Linked DNA regions of Stegostoma tigrinum. The protein of the gene in region 1 interacts with the protein of each later gene in a pairwise test. Links are inferred from orthologs where the notes say so. Each region holds a gene or a part of one and is shown in the gene's direction. Other genes may lie near its edges.

The links.
Region 2: the proteins of myog (region 1) and txndc9 interact in binary tests that used the Homo sapiens proteins (3 or more experiments, as listed by UniProt). The two-hybrid records come from large-scale screens. The link is inferred for Stegostoma tigrinum from reciprocal best matches to the Homo sapiens genes MYOG and TXNDC9.
Region 3: the proteins of myog (region 1) and cluap1 interact in binary tests that used the Homo sapiens proteins (3 or more experiments, as listed by UniProt). The two-hybrid records come from large-scale screens. The link is inferred for Stegostoma tigrinum from reciprocal best matches to the Homo sapiens genes MYOG and CLUAP1.

What each region holds. Positions count from the first base shown.
Region 1 is NC_081374.1:35,306,754-35,313,845, forward strand, and holds the start of myog (myogenin), read left to right. Parts: upstream 1-4,053; 5' UTR 4,054-4,120; coding exon 4,121-4,627; intron 4,628-5,752; coding exon 5,753-5,852; intron 5,853-7,092. UniProt on the Homo sapiens protein: Acts as a transcriptional activator that promotes transcription of muscle-specific target genes and plays a role in muscle differentiation, cell cycle exit and muscle atrophy.
Region 2 is NC_081359.1:59,429,657-59,437,551, reverse strand, and holds the start of txndc9 (thioredoxin domain-containing protein 9), read left to right. Parts: upstream 1-4,836; 5' UTR 4,837-5,083; intron 5,084-7,895. Other genes in the region: eif5b (eukaryotic translation initiation factor 5B), read right to left, coding at 4,628-4,662. UniProt on the Homo sapiens protein: Significantly diminishes the chaperonin TCP1 complex ATPase activity, thus negatively impacts protein folding, including that of actin or tubulin.
Region 3 is NC_081376.1:31,625,170-31,632,102, forward strand, and holds the start of cluap1 (clusterin-associated protein 1 homolog), read left to right. Parts: upstream 1-3,824; 5' UTR 3,825-4,193; coding exon 4,194-4,215; intron 4,216-4,796; coding exon 4,797-4,908; intron 4,909-5,778; coding exon 5,779-5,863; intron 5,864-5,982; coding exon 5,983-6,162; intron 6,163-6,755; coding exon 6,756-6,851; intron 6,852-6,933. UniProt on the Homo sapiens protein: Required for cilia biogenesis. Appears to function within the multiple intraflagellar transport complex B (IFT-B). Key regulator of hedgehog signaling.

The sequences.
Region 1 (7,092 bases):
GGCATGAGCCACCAGCAACACACCCACTGGGGAGCCAACTTCTGCTACTTTTTACAGTCTTTAGGGTGCATCATCACTTTTCATTGTAATGCTACTGCTAGGTAACTTTACATGCAGGGTCAAGCACCCATTTCATAGATCAGATCAAGGTGCACCTCATGACTCCTTGCTTGCTGTTTTAGGGCTCATTCACTTTGGATGCTCACAGCGTGTCTGCTTGGCTTGCCTTTTTGCACTTTATCTCCTCATTCCAACCTTAAACGCTCACAGTATTCCTTTTCCACTTAACACAGACTCAAAGCCAGGCAGCTTGTCATAATTTTCAACAGTGATCACTCAAGGAGATGGATATATTCTAGTATGGCACCATGCTACACAATTGTCACATCTGCATGTACCAGCAACTTACTTGGCAAAACACTACATGTTCTTCATCCAAAGGTCCATGTCTCAAAGTCAAGTGGGAGTAGTTCTCAGTCAAGTCAAGGGACCTGTCATCAGTCAGGGGGTCCCATTACAGTTAGTTAAGTGCAGAATCCAATCTCAGTCCTGGGTATTGGGCATGATAAACAGATATCTGAAGTGGTCAAGATCAGAGGTTCCATATCATTATAGTCTGGAGAGATAACCACAATATGTCCTGCAGGTCAGGTGTTACCAGTCTGAGAATTGCAGTAGGTCAGTCTGGGAGTTGTATCGAAATCAGTCAAGGGTCTGGCCACTCATTAATTGAGGCTAACTTTCTAAGTTGGCCATGGGGCTGGGCCATAATCAGTCCTGGGAGTCAGCTCAATGAAGCTCAAAGGGGTCTATAAGAGCCACTCCTGTGTTAGGGAGGCTGGCTAAATTGATTGTGGGATTGGATGCAGCATGCTGGAATGCTGAGGGGCAATAATTGTGAAAGGCAATACTGCAACATGTAAGGGTAGGAGATGATGGTCCATTGGAGGACACATGTTATTGCAGGAGGAGGGGTCATTGACTGTCACCATTACCCTGAATTTGACAAGGAAACTGTGCAGCACAATTGTTGACATGCCTAAGCTATAGGCCTAGAGTTTGGGGGTAATGTTCGGAGGTGAAGATGAAATTAAAGGATTTGCATGGAAATGTGTGGATGTTCAATATTGATAAACTTGAAAGGGAGTTCCAGAAGAAAGCAACATTGAGGTTCAGGGGCGTCTCATAATTACTAGGATGTGCCTGTGTCTCATGTGCCATATACATACTGAGTTGTCTTCCATTTTCATGCTAATTGTAAATGTGCAATGGAATTTGGAAAATGGCTAGAATGGCACCTGGAGTAAGCAGAGTAAATGTTTTCCTTTTGTCTGAGCATGAATTTTAATTGTAAGCAATGTGACGTGCTTCAGGAGACAATTCCATTAATCAGGCATGACACTGATAATCATAGTTACCTCATGTGAAAGCAATGCAGTGTCCAATTGTACAGAATACAAATCCTAGTCGCAAGTAATCTTGACCATGTCATTGATTATTGCAAATTGAACATCGTCATCTCTATAAAGCTAATGTAAACATAGGCCACCTTTAGAGTTCCATTTGCAAGCATGTTTCATAAAGACAATTCAAGATCTCATAGGCTGCTCACTTTGAAATGTATGTATTTGTCAACATGTTTTCATATGCAGTGCTACCTTTCTTGGGTGAAGTGGGGAACAAGGTATCAGTAATCCTACTGAACTCATAATCTGAAACTGTATTTGCATCACTTTTGCTGTATACATTAGACTGATTCTCCGTATGTCAATGGTCCATGTAGGGGTATTCTTTGGACCTCTTTGTTGGATACTTGCATTTTCCACTGTCTCGAAGAATATGCCAAATTGTCTTTGGTGTGTAAATGTTAATGCTGACTGCTCTCATTAAGAAGGAGCTGTTCTGTTTCTGATATTCTCCACAAAGGTTCATTGGAAATGTGGCCAACTGATTTGCCCATAGCAGGGATTATCACTGCAGTGGCTGCAATGCTATGATCATTCATTGACCCAAAATTTGTTGTTGCTTGAAAGGCTAGTAAGCCCTGTATGTACCAAAAACAGATACATCTCTTTTTCTCTTTGCAAGTTTCTCATTGTGTGTGCTGTTGTTGTATAAAAGTGATCATTTTCAATTGTTTGAAGGCTTATTAGTATTTGCAGCTCAAACATTGAACAATATTACACTACGTTGGGCATTGTGAAAAGAGTAGACAGGGTTCATAGATGCCATGGCACTAAGGATGAAGCTTGATTCTTGTAACTCAGTTACAATTACAGTGGATCAATCAGAAGCTCATGTAAAATAGCAACCATTTACAAACATGAGCTTGAATTTGCAATGAAGTGATGCCTGTGCCACTTATATGCCCTCAGAAGTTTTTTTTTTGCTTGTGTTCCTCTCCGACTTCATACCTTGTGAGGGGCAGCCCCTGAGTGACAGCACTCAACCATATTCATGTCTAGGCAGTAGAAAAGGTGCCATATTCGGAAATCCTGGGAGATCCCATCAGTGGTGAATTATCCCACTGTAACCGAGGGCCCGACATGTGCTGTAGCACATGGTACAAGGATAATGAGGTGAGTTGTGAAGAACTGAGAGAAAACTTGCTAGGATTCGACGAGAGAAAGCTTCTACAAAATTGAAGCTTAGCTGATTTTAGGAAAAACTCAGGTCAGGGAGTTGATGTCAACAAGTTCAATATGTCTAGAGTATTTTCAAACATTTCAAAGCACTAATGAACCCTCTATAAATTATAAAACCTCACATTTACATGGTATCTTTGCATGGCATTGAATTAATGACTTTGAAAACTATGAAGGCAAGCACAAAGATTTAGAAGGCATAACTATAGGAAAAAGCTTTTGGCAATGCAATGTTGTGAAATTTGTCTCTGTGCTGTGAGTAGATTTGTAGTTATGTGCTGCATGTTTGTTAATGGTCGTTCTTGTTTAAAGCCCCAGTTAAAGGGAACACTGTTGGCAGACAGGGCTTGATACTGTCTGACTGATTCCACCACGTTCATCATTAATAACCGACACAATGGAAGCTTTGTGTTATTTTAACATTCGCCACCATCCATCACTGTTTAACTTGACACCGGGTATCATAGAAAGCTAATAATCCTCAGGCAGGGAATGCAATGCAAAGGGGTTTGAAAAGAAGTAGTTCTTGATTGGAGCGCATGAAGACTATTCAGGGCACGGCAGTAATGTCGAAACTTGATGCTTAGTCCGGAATAGTTGGACGCTTTCTGTGAAAGTTTACAAGGTGTGAGAAATGTCACCGAAAGTGAAAACGGCTCGGAGTTGACCTTTCGCCAAACCGAGTGTCCGAAATGTACATCCCAGCACTGAGAGCACTTCACGTACCACTGTCTGGGTCTACTCCCATTCAGTTCGCCCTTACTGAGCCCCTAGTGTATGCATGTTCCAAAATCCATCTCCAGGGGTGATAGTACAGCAGGATTGTAAAGCAGAGTTAATTTGGACGAGCTAGGCTGAAGATGACGGCTAAAATATGAAATTCAAACAATAAACATCCATCTCCTCCAGTAAATAAACACCGTCTAATGCTATTTCTGGGGATTAAATATTATCACAATGGAGGCAAAACAATTGATCTCCCAACTGGATCCCAAGGATCTGGGAACTGACGGCAATCAACCAGCAGGAGTTAGCTGCAGTGCTGGCTGATTCGGAGTTAACCACAGACAGAACCCATGTGGAAACTTTCAGAAACCGCGAACAGATTTATTATTATTAACACTGTTGATTGTTCCCCCGCTGAAGGAAGCACGGTGAATTTGCAAATATAGCCTGAGCAGGCGATAACTTAGAAAAATGAAGAATGTTTTATTTCGGAAAACAAAGGAACAAAAAAAAACGTAACTTTCAGTGAGTTCGCCGCTGCTTTCAGCACCTCTTGGGAATAGGTGAAATCAGATTGAAGTCCTGATGCACGACGACAGCTAAGAGTTGGATAGAATTTCTGCGCTTTCTATATATATCTCAGTGATTTCATGCCAGCGGAGACTTTAAATGCCACCTAACAGTTGGCGTCGACATACTGCTCTGCAGTTGGTGCTTGAGATAACTTGAGACTAAAAGCCCCATTGATAATGGAGCTTTTCGAAACCAACCCTTATTACATTACAGACCAACGCTTTTTCGACAGCGAAAATGTGTTCCCCTCCCGCTTGCAGGGGTTTGAACAGAGCGTCTACCAGGAGCGGCTGGGGAGCGGCTTGTGTACCGACGCCAGGTCGCTGGAAGGCGGCTTGGACGAGCACGTGCACTCGGTGTCAGAGCTCCAACAGCAACAGCAACTTGCACAACAGGTCTGCCCTGGTCAGTGCTTGCTGTGGGCGTGCAAGAGCTGCAAGAGGAAATCCGTCACCTTGGACAGGAGGAAGGCGGCTACCCTCAGGGAGAAGAGGAGGCTGAAGAAAGTCAATGAGGCTTTCGAGGCGCTGAAGCGCAGCACTTTACTGAACCCCAACCAGAGACTGCCCAAGGTGGAGATTCTCCGCAGCGCCATTCAGTACATCGAGAGGCTCCAGGCTCTCCTCAGCACCTTGAACCAACAGGACAAACTGCACTACAGTGGCAGCAACACACGCCAAGTGGCAAGTATCCCGCAGCCCGCGGAAGGCACTGGATCAAACAGTCCGGTCCATATATCGCTGTAACCAGCACAGTCAACCTTACAACCCTGGAGCCCTGCCCAGAGCAAACCCAGCAGATGATGGGCTGGAAACTGCTCAATACGTTGTGATCAGTTGACACCTCTTGTTCACCATCTAGATTTGCTCTGGCACCATCTCCGGGATTGTAAATTGTTTCTATCAAAGACTTCTTAAAAAAAATCCTCTGCTATCTGGTAAAGACTTATTTATTAAACTTAGAAACAAAGGGGCTTTGAGTGTCCAATGTTGCGTCTTTCCCGAACCCAGAATCACCTTCGTAACTGATTAGCTACGTTTTGGTTTGCAGGAAACCCTGCTCGGGAAACTCGGCAAGTTCTGGTACCCCCAGGTGCCTAATTGTAATCCACTCCGGCCCCCCTTATCCCAGCTCCGTTCTATTTAAGGATTAAGATCATAGTGGTTTGTGTCTAAATATATGGGAAGAGGAAGCGGAAGGCCAGATACGTTAAATTTTTTCGAGTGTACACTTTATGGATTTGCTTTAATAGGCTCAACAATGTCAAATTGACAGCGGAACGAAAACGCGAATTTGTGACAATAAAGCTAACCCAATGTATTTTTAATTGCTTAAAATGACAGCTCTGGCTCACGGGAAGGTCAAAGAAAGAGTTGCATTTCTGTAGTGCCTTTCACAACCTCGTGTGCTTTACAGCCAATGGACTGTACTATGTTCACTTTGTAATTTTATTGAAATAACCTGATCAAAACATAAGAACGAATTAGTGTGTGTACGTGGACACTGTGTTGATGATTTTGACGTACATCCGTTGAAAGGATTGTGTTCACTGTTTCACACGCGAGGCGACAGACAGCGGGGCGGGGGGGGGGGGTGCCATAGTTGAACTGATTTTTCCGAAGGTCCACGCAGAGAGCAGGTGTTTTGAGCAGTGTTTGGAACAATTGTTGAAAGAAAACAATAAACTTGAAATATTGTTACTCTGCAAGCTCAGCGCGCTGCAGTTTCGAAAGTAGTTCGATTTCTACTATAAATACTCTGTAAATACCATCCATCCCTGGTCATTCTTTCCATTACTGCAATTGTAGGTCGGAGTACCCAGCGAGTGCGGATCAAACAGCGCTTCCTGCAGCCCGGAGTGGAGCAGCTCCTCTGATCATTGCAACACTACTTTCAACAATTCCAGGGGTAGGTACAGCAGTTGGTGAAAGTGAAAACCCCTCTCAATATTCTCAATTATTCTGTTTATACAGACTCACTGAATAAATCAATGAAGTAGGAATGGCATTTGTACTTGCCCACCTGTAGCTAGCGCGAGTCATAGATGGTACCTTTCGAAACAACGACCCACACACTGTCTTGTCTGAAGGGTTGCAGTCATAGAGCTATAGAGCATGCAAACAGGACCCTTGGGCCATGCTGACCTGGTTGCCGAACTAAACTAGCTCCCCACCTGCCTTTGCTTGGCGATCTCCCTCCAAATCGTTCCTATTCATGAACTTATGCAAATATGTTTTATTGTTGTAACTGTACCTGCATCCACCACCTCCTCTAGCAGCTCATTCCACACACGAACTTGTGCAAAAAAAAGTTGCCTCTTGTCCTTTTTAAATCTTTCTCCTCTCATCTTAAAAATGTCCCCTAGTTTTGAACTCCCTCTGGGGATAAGACCCTTGTTATTCACCTTTCTATACCCCTCATGATTTTATAAACCTCAATAAGGTCACCCCTCAATGTAATGTGCTTTTAATTCTTCACACGTTATAGTTGTTTTGCAAATGATAGCGGCAAAGGGTTAAAAGTCACAGTGCAAAAACATTTGTGTGAAAGACATAGACCAGCTCAAACTAGAAAGTGTCAATTTATTGCCACATGCATAGATTCCATTAACATTCTTTGGTCAGCCCACCAGGAAGCAGGCTTCATTAAGGAACGTAAGCCACAGCAAGAGAAAATACCATTCCCTAGCATAAGCACCAGCTCAGAAACAATAAAATTAACCTTCCCAAGTGGATCCAAAGGAAACACACCATAACTGGGTTCTCATTGACTTGCATTTTCCATTGACATAATGAAGCCTTGCAAGGCAGTTCACCAGGGTCAAAATTAAATACTGGAGAGGAAGACCAGGCGATAGACAATGGTGCCTTCAAAGCAAAAGCTTGTAACGGGACGTTTGAAGCTCGAAGAAATGTAGTGAAGAGAATTTCAGAGTTTGAGGATGTAGTGATTAATGGAGGACCAGAATATTGGGTGGGGGGGGGGGAAAACAGTCAAACAAGGTCAGAATAGCTGAAGGTAAGAACTGGGTATTGGGCTGAAGGGCCTTATGGAAATAGGCTGGAGTTGGATTTTCATATCATTGGTAAAAATGGACAAATATGTTGAAATTTAGTGATGAGGGATAAGATTCAGTGGAGGACAAAAA
Region 2 (7,895 bases), on another chromosome or scaffold:
TCAGATAATCTGTTTTAAATCCCACTAAAGAAGGATAATTGCTGGTCAAGATAGGAAGTGATCTTTCCTGCTTGCCTTCAAAATACTGTTATTGTTTGACATCCCTGAGAGGACATAAGACATATTGGGTTAACATTGTTTCCCAAATTTGTCCAAAAGTGCAGCGAGCTCTCAGTTCTGCACTGAAGCCTCAGCTAAGGTTTGTGCTCAAGTCCGTGGGAACTTGAACACTAACTTTTCGATCCAGATGAATGCTACAACTGCACTTTGACTGAAAACTCAGTTTCTAGTTGCCACATTCAACAGATTACCATTAAAAATCTGAAAAGTTTGTAGTGAAAATATTTTTTGAAAACAGAGTACAACAACAGAAATCTCTCCCATAATGCTTTTGGATACTAAAACTATTTCCTAAACACATCAAAAAAAAGCTACTGATTGATTAAAGCTTCAGTCTCTGCTCTTAACTAGTGTTCTTTCATTGATTCATTCAATCACAAAAAATATTACTGTGCTTAGTAAGGGTACATATCAAACAAAATTGGAGATTAGAAATAATACAATGTGACAAATATACTCCCATTAAGTTGTGCTATTTTAGTGAATACAAGGCCAAAACTGGATAAAATTTGAGAAAAATTAAAGAACAGAGAATTTTCAAACAATCAATACCAGAACAGCTAACAGCTGACCAAACATCATAAAAATGAGATACAACAGAAAGTTCAACAATAATGTGACTGTTAACTCCAGCAGGCACAAACAAACTGAAACTCATTCAATGCTATCATCCCAGCTGATGGAATTTAACTTGTCCATTAATATCAACTTGAAATCTGGTTTGATAGACTAGAAATTGAATTTGGGCAATTGGTTTATTACTGTGGTCAGTAACTGAATGTATTAAAAAGAGGCTGCCAATCTACTTTTAACAAAAAAAATATATATTTATGTTCATGTTATTAGACAAATCCTTTTTCTAACTTAGCCTTTGGGATCAGTTTAACTCAGTTGGCTGGACTGCAGAATGAAGCTAACAGCATGGGTTCAACTCTTACGCTGGCTGAGGTTACCATGAAGGATTCTACTTCTCAACTTCTTCACTCGTCCAAGACATGGTGACCCTCAGGTTAAAATACCACCAGCTGTGCTTCTCCAATGAGACAGTCGTCCTGCAGTTTGGTAAGACTACAGTGACTTTACCTCTGTATAAGAACTATTTGAAATGTTCTTAGCACATATTAGGAAGATACAATCTTCTTGCTCTCACCTTAAAAGTCCAAGTTACTCTCTTTCCACTTTAAAAGCTTCTTGTTCAGGAAGCATGGCTATTCTTGGCTTCTTACCAGCAAACTTCTGCATTCACTCTACACCATCATGTCCAGGTCAGATTTCTTCAGGAGACCATTAAGCTGCTAACATAACCGATTTATTCCTCACGAGGTGTTCACTTAAATTGTGCATTCAATGGCCTTGTAAGATATTCATAGATCATCATCACAGAACTCCTATAGTGTGGAAACAGGCCCGTTGGCCCAAAAAATCCACACTGACCCTCAGAGCATTCCACCCAGACCCATTCACCCCTCTCGTCATAACCCACCTAATCTACACCTCCCTGAACACCACGGGCAATTTAGCATGGCCAATCCATCTAGTCTGCACGTTTTTGGACTGTGGGAGGAAACCAGAGCACCCGGAGAAAACCTACGCAGGCACAGGTAGAATGTGCAAACTCCACACAGCTAGTGGCCCGAGAGTGGAACTGAACTCAGGTCCCTGGTGTTGTGAGGCAGCAGAGCTAACTACCGAGCCTTCGTGCTGCCCACATTCTCCTGTCACCTAACTTTTTGCCACACAGGGTTTTTCTTCTGCACTGTCTTTTTTTTTAAATTGCTAAACTGCAGTGGTAAATCAAGGCTGATGCACACCTTTTCTCTCCACTGGGCATGCTTATCTCTCTGAAATACACTTACCTACCCATTAGTCTTCTAAATGGTTCTATCTTTCTAGGAAGGCATTTCTATCTCTGCCTCCTTGTCCCAGAGGACATCTTGTTGCTGCAACCCATTTTATATTTCCCTTCAGAGTCACTGAAGTGTTACAGTGCAGCAGGAGGCCATTCAACCCCTCCTGTCTTCAGCAGCTTTCCAAATGGGAATTATAACTCAGCGCCACTCTCCTGCCTGCTTCCCAAAATCTTGCACATTATTTAATAGAAAGAATCATCTAGTGCCATTGAATGCCTCAATTAAACTTGCTTCCACCTCAGTTCTCACTACAAGTGTTCAACTACTGAACATGACTCAATCGTTGTGTGAGGAAGTTCTTTTCTCAAATCACGTTTTTATTTTGCAAATCACTTGAAATCTGTACCATCTCATTCATTAGCCGCTTCTTTTAGGACCATTGGTTGAAGTTCATCAGGATCGGGGCAATTGACAGGCCTAAGTTCCAATAATTTAATAAGAACCACTTCTTTGGAGATTGAGAGTTTCTCCAACTAATGAGCTTCCCTCTTGTTTTTGTTTTAAAACCTTCCCCTGCCCATATTTCTCCTTGAAAGCTGATTATTCTAACTCCGATTCAGGTCTGATGAAATGTTAACTATTACTTTCCACAAATTCTATAATACCGAACGTGCATTTGCAGCATTTTATTATTTATTTCCAATTTCCAGCATCTGCAGTATTGTGCCTGTGTTCAAAATTTAGCACATTTGATATTTTTCATTTCCTGAAATCTAGATTATTCATTCATGCACCCCTTCCTCTCTCACTTCATGTTTCTTGATCTACACACACCAATACGTAATCTCTCTCAAGATCTCTGCTTCTCACAATCGTTCCTTCTCCCACAAACAACCATACATCAATCATTATCAATCTCTCACCTTCTGCATTTAGTGTCCGTCACTAATGATTAATGGTGACAACTTGTTTCATAATTTTCAGTAATAAATCAATTAGCAAATTCCAGTTGCCAAATTTTATGATTTAAAAAAGCTGTAGACCCTGCTGATAAATGTAATATGATGGCTACTATTAAATAATACTTTTTTAAAAATCCCATCATAGGAGGGCATTGCTGACTACAGTAGCCTTTATTGCCCTCCCTAATTGCCCTGAGGACAGTTAAGAGTTAACCCTATTGCTGAGAATTGGAATCACACATGGGTCAGACCAGGTAAGATTGGCAAATTTCCTTCCCTGAAGAATATTAGTGAATGAGATGGGTTTTTCTAACAAACCACACCAGTTTCACGGTGATCACATGTCTGTTAAATGTATCCAAAATCCACCATTTGCCACGGTGGGATTTGAACCCCAAATTATTAAGACTACTGCTAATACCACTAGTCCGTGCCCTTTCTGAGCATCCAAATTTTCTAGCAAGCACTGAAGTTTAAAAACTTGCATGTGAATACTTTTATATTGCTCATCGTGGGATTGAATGCCTGATAAGATGCAAGAAAATACATCCAAGTCCCACATAGTGGTCACAAGATGTGCAGGGTCATTCCAGCCCACGGGTGAACTTATTTCTATTTATTGACATATGAGGAACACTTTCCATCGAATTGGAGAATACGGGTACAGACAGTCAATGAATAGGCAGTTAATTAAACAAGCAAACTAATTTTCAATGGACAAGTTGATCACAAATGTGGGTGACATTTAGAATAAGGCAAATCTAACTAGATATTTAGATGATAAGACTTCTCTATTCAGATACTTCAATGCTAATAAATCAACAAAGGGCTCACCAAGTATTCTCATATGCTTGGAATTCTATTTTTGATTGTAAACAGGATTATGGAAGGGCCTTAGTGGCACAGCAATGGTATCCCAACTTCTAAGCCAGGAGGCCTGGTTCCAGAGGTGTGTCATAACAAATCTGCACAGGCTGATTGCAAATATTTACACATAATTATGATTAATATACACCATATAGTCCAGGGTCACAGAGTAGAAGATAACAAATGGATACAGACAAGGCAACATAAGGAGTCATTGTCTGGCATCTGATTTGCATCTGATATCATAACGAAGGCCTAAATTATATTCTATATTAATCTTCAGTCTAGAAATTATTGTACTGATATTATGTTCACCTAGCGTGTCTTTGTCACTTCAACAGGAATGTTAACATACTTAAAAAGTCCATAATGAGTCAAATCAATATAAAGTCTGCATCAGAGTAATATCTTCTAGATATGGCCCATAACGTTTAGGAAAAGAAAACTGCAACGTATGTTATATCCACTTTTGACATGACCGTAAAATTATTGGATAAAAATCATACGTAGAAACAAATTCTAAGCCTATGGTTTATCAGGTTCCTTGAAAACGTAAAGGAGGATCACGGAGGAAGGGGGTGAAGACAACCTCGAAGTCTCCCATTTCTACAAAACAGACTAACGTTAACCCCAGTCAGTAGCCCGCGGGCCTGCCCCTCTTGCGTCATGTTAGCGGTAGGGACCCGGACTCCTCCGCACTCGAGCAGTAGGAGCAGATCCGTCCAGCGGCCTAGTCAAGCAACATACTCCCTCAATTCCTTCCATCGCTCACGGCAACCAGCCTCTTCAGTAACGAATAAACAGAAAAGTAAACAGCTCAACACTCACTTATCTTCACTCTTGTTTTTCTGTTTTTTCCCCATTTTTTTACACTGTTGCCTCACTGTCACTTTTTAAAATCTCTTTCAGACATATGGCAGTCGCGTGAATCTGCGCATGCGCTATCGCGGCTGACCCGTGATCTGATCTCTGATTGGCTGTGGTTTCAGCCCATCCGCCCGCTTGTCAATCATTCAAGGCGGAAGTAGAAAGTGCAAAGGAGGAAATGATGCAAAAGAGCTGGGATCAATACTGCAAAAAGACATTTCGGAGAGCATCAAGATTCAATCTTGCTTTTTATGATTATTATTTTAAGAAGGGGAATTTGGCAACTACTTTTCCTTCCAACAGTTTATGAAAAGTACAAATGCCAAAACTGTGGAGGAAAAATACAGCATTTTATCAAATAGTTGCTTCCTATTACAGTCGCAAATCTGCATCTCAAAAGCTCTCCTTTAGCATCAGGTAAACATTATAATTTAAAAATATCAATATGCTATTGTAATTTATTAAACTATGTTGCAATTTATAGTTTACTTATTCTAATCATGGTTAGAAGCGTATTTATTGCCATGTATTTACCCTTTCCTTTATTTAAATTGTGACTATCATGTCATTTTTGGTACTAGAAACTGTTTGGTGGGTTGCAGTTTTTGTTTCTCACGATATTACATTATTCAAACAAGGCAACGTTTATTGATGACTGAGACCTTACGTTTAGCCTTAGTAATGAGGGTGCCATAAGAAGGTCCAGAATGGTGAAGGAGTACAGGCCAAAATAAAGATAGTTTGTGACTTGGAGGAAAACTTATAGGTGACAGTTTTCTTGTGGTTATTGTTGTTCTGTTTGCACTCGTAGTAGGACTGGAAAGCTTTCCATACAACTCTAAAATTGCATGTGTTATTGCCACAAGGTTTGAACGATGGAATGTGTGTTATTTTCTTAGAGGACTATTCCTATTTCCTTGTAGTAACTACCACCTTTACAATACGTGGTGCTGAGTCAAGATTGTTTGCGGCAATCTGCTACAAACAGTGTTCATTTCTTTTCTCTACCTATCTCGTGATTCTTGGTAGGAGGATCCAGCACCATGGACTATCTACAGAAGAGGCACTGTTCTCAGATAACAAGGTTTACTGCATTACAACAATGAGTGCAAATATTTTCAATCAGGCATAACTACTAGGACCATAACGAGTTTGTACAAGTGCATTTGCTCCTTCCAAAAGCAGAACTTGTCAACATTTTGTTTTTGTGTGAACTGTCTTTCAGTCCTGTCACTTTATATACCTGGGAAGGAGTCAAATGGAAGCATGTTGAGTGCAATGGCATAGATGATATTCAAAAATTGCTCCACACTAGATGCAGTTAAGTTTATTGAGTGTTGCTCTTGTTGCACTGAGTGAGATATGTGTTTCATTACGCTCAAAACATAACTGTTGGCGATCTTGTGAACTATCACCCTGTTCCCTTGGCTTCTCCTACGAGTATTGTTTAGTGCTTGTTTTGGGTAGCATCTTTGTATCAACAGAAAAGTATAATTCTTGAGACTTATAAAATTGCATAATTGGAGAAGCGGGGCAGAGTTTTTCTCTTGTTTACCACTATTTGGGTGGTAAAAAAGAAGAAAGGTCAAATAGAATCGATAAAATGTGGAGCTGAAGGAGCACAGCAGGTCAGGCAGTATCAGAGGAGCAGGAAAGTCAATGTTTCGAGTCCGGACCCTTCACCTGGACTGGGGAGGGGAAGGGAGCTCAGAAATAAACGGGCGAGGTTGGGCTGGAGGAAGGAGTGCGTATGATGATAGGTAAATGCAGGTAGGGAATTGAAGAGATTGGTCAGTGGGAAGGGTGGAGTGAATGGATGAGAAGGAAGATGGACAGGTTGTAACAGGTCAAAGAGGCGGGGATGAGAGGTAGGGCTGGACGTGGGTCGAGGCTGGTGGTGGGGAGATTTTGAAGCTGGTGAGGTCTATGTTGAGGCCATTGGGCTGTAAGCTCCTGAGGGGGAATGTACGGCATTGCTCTTCCAGTTTATGTATCGCCTCATTTTGACTGTGGAGGAGGCCCAGGATGGATATGTTGCCAAGGCAGTAGGATGGGGAGTTGAAATGGCTAGCAACCGGAAGGTGGCATTGATTGGAGCGTACCGGGTGTAGATGCTGTGCAAATTGGCCCCTGAATCAGTGCTTGGTCTCCCTTATATAGGGAAGACCGCATTGGGAGCAACTGATACAGTCGATCAGGTTAGAAGACATACAATTGAATCTCTGCTGGATATGGAATGATTGTTTGGGACCTTGGATGCAGCTGAGAGGGAATGCATAGGGGCAGATGTAGCACCTCCTTCAGTTGCAGGGCAGGATGCCAGGTGTGGTGGGAAAGTTGGTGGGGCACGTGCAGCTGACGACAGAGTGAGCAGTCCCTACAGAAGGCAGATAGAGATGGGGAAATATCTTTTCGGTGGTGGGGTGAAATCGCAGGTGACAAAAATGGCACAGGATGATGCATTGGATTTGCAGATTGGTGGGGTAGAATGTGAGGACCAGGGATAGGGGAAGGGGATTTGAGGGCAGAAGTGCAGGAAATGAGGAGATGTGGTTGAGGGAATTCTGAATCACAGGAGTGGGGAAATTATGGTCCTTGAAGGATGACATCTGGGATGTCTGGGAGTGGAACGCTTCATCACAGGACAGATGTGACAGAGGCAGAAGAATTGGGAGTATGGGATCATATTTTTGCAAGAGGATAGGTGAGAGGAGGTATGGTCAAGATAGCTGTGGCAGTCGGTGGGTTTGAAATGGAATTCGGTTGCCAGAGATGGAGACGCAGAGGTCCAGGAAGGGAAGGGAGGTGTCAAGTTGGTCCAGGTGAATTTGAGATTGGGGTGAAAGGTGTTGCTGAAGTTGATGACCTGTTCAAACTCCTCATGGGGGCATGAGGCAGCACCAATACAGTCATCAATGTAGCGGAGGAAGAGGTGAGGGATGGTGCCAGTGTGTCTGCGGAAGAGGTACTGTTCCACCAATCCGGCAAAGAGGCAGGCATAGCTCGGACCCATGCGAGTGCCCATAGCTACCCTCTTAATTTGTAGGAAGTGGAAGGAGTCAAAGGAATAACTGTTGAGGGTAAGGACTAGTTCTGCCAAGCGAATGAGAGAGTTGGTGGAGGGGAACAGGTTGTGCCTGTGACAGAGGAAGAAACAGAGGGCTTTTATGCCCTCCTCATGGGGGATACAGGCATAGAGAGAGACTGAATATCCATGTTGAAGATGAGA
Region 3 (6,933 bases), on another chromosome or scaffold:
ACATCACAAAAGAGCATTTTATTTGCTATGATCACGGCAATATCACACTGAATGTACTTGCCTTTGGTGAATATTGCGAGGCTGATTCCTAATGTGAGGGGATTTGGTATTCAGAAACTGAATAAACTAGACCTATCTTCCATGGAATTTTAAAAACGACATGATATAACTGAAAGATGTAAAAGCTTTAAGGGCTTGCCAGTGTAAATGCTGATGTTCCCTCTGTCTCAGAATAAGAGGTTATCCATTTAGGACCAGTGATTGTGAATCTTTAGAATCCTCTATCCTAGGAAGTTGGGGTTTCTCAGTCGTTGAATATATTCACAAGAGTTGATAGATTGTTGGGTACTAAGGGATACAAGGAGTATGTTTGAATAAAGACCTTTGTACACTGTGGCTTACCATACACTTGATCTCTCACATCATGAAATATCACGGATGTAAATAAAGCTTTAGGGCAGTAGCTAATTTATACTTCACATGGAACAGGAGGTCAGAAGTGTACAACTTGGATTCAGCATATTTTCACAACTGAGAGCAAATAGCTGCAAAAAACAACCGTGACTTAATTCTGAGATAACAAGGTGTAGAGCTGAATGAACACAGCAGGCCAAGCAGCAGGAAAACTGACGTTTCGGGCTTAGACCCTTCTTCAGAAATGGCTTAATTCTGAACCCTTATACCGGAAATTGGCAACTGTGTAAGTCATAACAACTATGAATATTCCAGCACTTACTCCTGAAGAAATGAAATTAAATTTGAGACTGAGTTGCAAATTCTTCCAGTCTTAGAAGCAGAATTATGCAATTGCCACAGAGTTGAGCAAGAAACCTGTAAAAGTCCAGAGTAGCAACTCTGTTATCAGTATGAGAGAAAGCTTGGCACTCTAGATCTCAGCAAAGAACCAAACCAAACTTACAGTTTTTAAGGTTTTGAAGACCCAATTTAAATACTCTGCTCATGTTATTTATAAATGCTATGTGTTTAACACTAGAGACCAGGAAGGCAAGAAGAATACTGACGGCAATGAAATGTCTAGTTGAATCTTATGAGTCAGGGCAACTGAACGATGATTGCATCAGAGATAAGATAGTCCTAGAAAGAAGTGATTCTGCTTTGAGTGTATGTCTGCTGAGAGAAGAGAAACCTATTATTAAGGAAACTGTTGATGTGTAGAATCTCTGAAGTGTTTAATCATCAATTGAAGTGTATTGATAGGACAACTGATGAAATTATGTATTATGTTGAGAGACAATCCCAATCTTCCAAGCACACGACAACTGAAAGGAAGGATGATTTGAGGAAAGGACAACATAAAAATCCAGTTTTCAGTACTGGATTTAAATACAAGGAGGACAACACAAGAAAGAAAAGAAAGTATGTTTAGCACAGGGAAAGCAGACTGTAATTGCAGCAAGCTGAATCACTTTACATACAAGGATTTTGTGAGAAAAAAGAAAATTAAACTGATAAAAGATAGTTGCTGGAGAATTATCAGCTGTTGATTCTGACAAAATACTCCACATCCTAGAAAAAAGTTAGTACTGTATTGTCCCAAGGCGAAAAAAATCTGAGTGTTGAAATGATGATTCCGGAAGCACATGAAGCGAATCAAATTAAACTGTTCTTGTGCAAATCACAAACTTCGCAGACTTTTGTGAACTTTCCCAAGACGATAACCTGGAAATTAAGTTGTAAAAGGCAATGTTTAGGCTCCATGATGCAGAGCAAGAGCAAACCAAATTGATGTCCAATAATGTGGAAATGAAGATGAACTTTAATTCTATACGATGGGTACTAAGCAAAATTCTTGAATTTCGATAGATAAAAACTGTTACAGATAGGGAGAGAGGTTCATTTAATTATTTTACATTTGTCCTCTTCTGTTCACAAGTGGAGGAATTTAAAACAAAATTGTATTTACTTTTCCTTTTGAGATAGACTATGCTGTATTTACCACCCATCCCAAGACCTCTGTTGGTGCTTCTTAATTTTCCACTTGTCCCACAATATACTCTGTAGAATGTTTAAAAAGTGTAGGTTTCTTATATGTTAAGTCCCAGGCTATGGATGAAGCTCTGAATAGGCCTCTTTACCCTCACTGGAATAGATTACCTTGTTAAAACTAATTACTATTACGTAGAAACAGAAGATAGGAACAGTAATGTGCCATTCAGCCTTTAGGCCTTCTTCACCATTCAATATGATCATAGCTGACCATACAACTCAATGCTGTGTCCCTGCTTTCTTCCCATAGCCATTGATTTTTTTTAGACCTAAGACATATATCTGAATCCCTCTTGAAAACATTCAATGTTTTGGCATGAACTGCATTCTGGCACGCAGAATGCCACAGTTTCACAACTTTCTGAGGGAAGAAATTTTCCTCAGCTCAGTCCTAAATGGCCCACTGCATATCTTTAGACAGTGATGCCTGGTTCTGGAAGTTCGGACTGCTGAGAATTAGATCAGCTGATGTTAATAACTACCAGTGAGACTTTGGAATGCCTGAAAGAGCATTTCAATTGCCTTGGCATTCCTAATATGATAAGCAATAACAAGCCTCAATCCATGAGTTAAGACATTTAATAATTGCTTGGAAAATTCAGCACTACATATCCTCTCCACATTACACCCAATCAAAATGGAACAGCTAAGGCAGAAGTTAAAATTGTCAAAGGATCATCAAAAAATATATTGGATTCAGCATAAATGTGTACAAGGGGTATTCTTAGAGGGAGAAATAAACCCTCTGAAGCAGAGAACATGGTCCAGATCAGCAACTAACGTCATGCTGCGTGCTCCTTACAGCAGCATGACTGAAGCTAGCAGCAGCAACAGTGCATGATAAGATCAAAGTATAATGACAGATAGCTAAATTCCGCTTTGATAAAGGTGACAAATCAGTGCCAATGTTAGAAAATCATCAGAGTACAAACAATTCAATACATTCAACATAAGTCATTAACCTTGGCAATTTGAAGACTTGAGACACAAGTCATCATAACTTTACATTGTGAAAGCCAATGACCCCCAGATCTATCATTGCAACTACATATGGAAAGATACAACCAGAAATAACTGATGAAGGAGATTTGATTTGTCAATTGAACAAGGTACTGAAACACCATCAGTTCCAGGGGTCAACATTTCTCCAAAACAAAATGTACACAAAGTGTTCGTACATATCATGCCTCTATATCAGATAGGACCTTAAATCAGCCCCTAGAGGACCCAAAGGTATACACTACCACTGTGCCATAAGACCCTCAATTCCCAAAAATGCAATGAATTTACAGCACCAATTATCACAGCTGCCATTGTAGCAATGTTCCCTAGAAAAGTAATGACACGCCTATAACTGCCGACACCACACAAATGGCCAAAAACAACAATTAAAATACATGAATGATTTAAAGATTTATGTCCAGTACAGGTACAGGACAGGCAAAATTGGAGTTGACTAGAAGGACAAAGATTTCCCCCCCGCGCATGACAATTTTCTTTATGGATTACGTTCATAACTTGCAAAAGATCTACTCATGTTTTCCTTTCTTACAGTCTTATTGTGCATGCAATTTTTTAAAAATGAAAGATTGGATTGTTTGGACGAAAATATTTTGCAGCTTATGATGCATCATATTCATGTGACCTATATATCAATATATAAATATTTTAGACAATATACACACCACATGGAACAAACGATTGACACTGAAGAAGTGAAGATAAATCAGCCATGATCTAACTGAAACGCCGTTGACACAACCGCGTTTTACCTGGACATCATATCGATCGTGACGTCAGGTGATGTCTCACGCACGACGCCGGGGCCGTGGCTCCCAGAATGCCTGTCGCGCAGAAAGCGGGCGGGGATCTCTATGGAAACGGGGCCTAACGACAAAGAAAGAAATCTGAAGCTACACATCTCCAGTACTCAGTAGAGAAGTTAGAAAAAAAATCGAGCCGACAGGAACAGTCTGGGGAAGAGTAGGGACGGGGTGTGGCAGGGGCAAACGTGGATTGATTCCGCGTTCAGTCACCGGGCAATGCTCGGCGTTTGGGAATCGGGGAAGGCCCGTGAACGGGACCAAAGCTAGGCGGTATTGGATACAGTGGAAATATAGTATTTTGTTGTGTTTCATGACCGAGGAAGATAGGGCCCCATCTAGACTATAGATTCCATCAGCATCATGTCATTCAGAGACCTGAGGAGTAAGGATAATTTTCATGTCTGAATTTAGGCTGTGGGTAGAAGTAGCGTTGGTTTTACAAATATTCGGGTTCAGTAGGTCTGCTATTTAACCCTGGAGGATCATCATCTTTGTATATTATTTATATTCAGAAACAGCCTCCAACTTTTTAAATTTTAGGATAGACAGAGCTACGGAGACAAAAATGATCTTAGATTACATAGTTTCTCTTACACTATTTACCCAGGAATGAATTTTGTCATTTATAATGAGAATAAGATTTAATTTGCATTATCTGCAAGATTATTCCTTACACCATCCTCTGTTTTGTAAAAGCAGGCTGAGGAGCACAATAATTTGCCATTAGTTCCATATTGTATGGATGCATCAATTATTAGTACTTTCTCAGACTTGTCAATATTAATCCTTAATACATTATTTAAGAAGAAAGCCTCTATAATCAGTGTACAGATGTAATTTGATACTACAAGAATAGAGTATCCTTCTGAGAAGTGCAATAATGGGAAAGTTCCAGAAATTAGCACCTCCAAGCTGCTAATTAACTAATGTATGTATAAACACTGATGACCTATTGTATTTCAGACTTCACTGAGATGATGAGGGCTCTGGGGTATCCCCGTTTGATCTCTATGGAAAACTTTCGGATTCCGAATTTTCCTTTGGTATCAGAGATTCTCATTTGGCTCGTTAAAAGGTTTGTGATCTTAAAAGTGCACTTTTATAATAACCTTAGTTATTCAATATCTATGGAATGAATTATGAAAGTTTTGGTATTGAATTTACTTTGGTATCTGTACCACTAACCAAGGCTGTATAGTTTTGTAGCAGCACTGTCTGTTTGGAAAATTCATCATTTTTCTCTCAAACAGCATCAACATCTTCTGAAATATCTGGATATTCATCTAGTTTGATCATCTTAGGACCTTGCTATGTGCAAATTGGCTACAGCATTTGTCTGCATAAAAACATGAATACATATTAAAGTGACTGCATTTGAGGCCAATGCAACTGTGAGATGAAAAACCACGTGCAGCTGCAAAATCACATCAATGCATTAATGTATTTCTGTGGTTGGTATAGTAGGCCATTGCAGAGAGGGAGTCATCTAGAATATTCCCAGTGATTTTGCTTGTATAAATGGAGTGTTTAGATTGAAAATTTTGCACTAAATCTTTACTTTTATGATAAGACTGTTTAAGACATAATAAATGAGAAATCGTAGCAGACCTTATGGCACAAGTCTGTTACTGTAACACTCATCCTTCAGCTGATGTGCACTTGTTCATTACGTCTTGGGAGTACGATATAGAAAAAAGGGAGTGCAGGTAATTCCGATCTTTGGTCTGTTGAGATTTAAAATAAGCAGTTTGTTCTTGCTGGAAAGTATGAGGTTTGGATTCTGCTGCACTACATTTGTTACAGTTGACAGACTATACCATCACCTTCCATTTTAACTGTGTTTTGGGGATAACCTTAAAAGTTCTAATTTCCTTTAAAAGGGAGGGGGGTTGTGAAAATAGTACACTGGAAAGTAACTTACCTTACTTGGAACTTGTTTTATCAGATACGAACCCCAGACAGATATCCCAACAGATGTAGATACAGAACAGGACCGAGTTTTCTTCATCAAAGCTGTAGCACAATTCATGGTAAGCAGCAAATAGCTCTTCCTCAGCCTGGTGTGTGAAAACTGTAGGACAGCATGAATCTGGGATGAACTCCAGAAACCTGCAGTATGTTTTGTGAATATATTTACTTTGTATTGCAGGCTACTAAAGCTCACATTAAGCTCAATACTAAGAAGTTATACCAGGCTGATGGATATGCGGTGAAAGAGTTGCTGAAGATTACTACTGTTCTCTATAATGCTATGAAAACAAAGCGAATGGACACAAGTGAGGATACAGAAGAAGATAGTTCAAAATTCAAATTTGACTTGGGGTCGAAGGTGAGTAATGCAACTTAATTCCTCATTCAGGACAAGATTAGCACAGATGTTTGTTGTTTGAGCAGTACAATACAAGAGAACATAAGGGCAAATTCAGCAATGCCCCTCTGCCACCGAAATCAATTCTCACTAAACCATCCCTCAGGACCAGGGCTATTGTTTTCTAGCCCCACCTATGACTCATTACCCTTTCCAGTGAAATTCTGCTCCACAGGAGCTTTGCCTTTTTGAATTTGCACTGTATTTTGACTGAGAGTATGTTTAACAATCTAGCTTTACTGTTCCATCAAAGTGTTGCCGCAAGGTCAAGTTAGCAGTTCAACACTCAACCATACAGGGAACTTAAGTGAAACTTTCATTTTGGCCTACAGCAGTGAGATGTTTTAATCCTGACCATGTGGTAAATATGTGTTATACACCTGTTACAACCCAATGATTTGCTCCTGGACTGTACAAAATATATAAATAAACCCTGACAGTGCACAAATTTTGGTGCTAACATAGAGTCTGTCTTCATGATGTAAACTGCCCTTAATAATATTTGCAGAGAGATGTTTTGTAGCTTATATTTTCCATCTTCTCACCTATTCCAGATATCAGATTTGAAAACTGCCAGACAACTAGCTTCTGAGATTACCTCCAAAGGAGCAACTGTATTTGATTTGTTGGGAAAAGAAGTAGACCTGAGGGTGAGTCAGCAGGTTTCTGATCAACTAGCATCTGACAACTGGAAGATAACAATATCCCCAAATAAAAGATAAATGGTTTTAC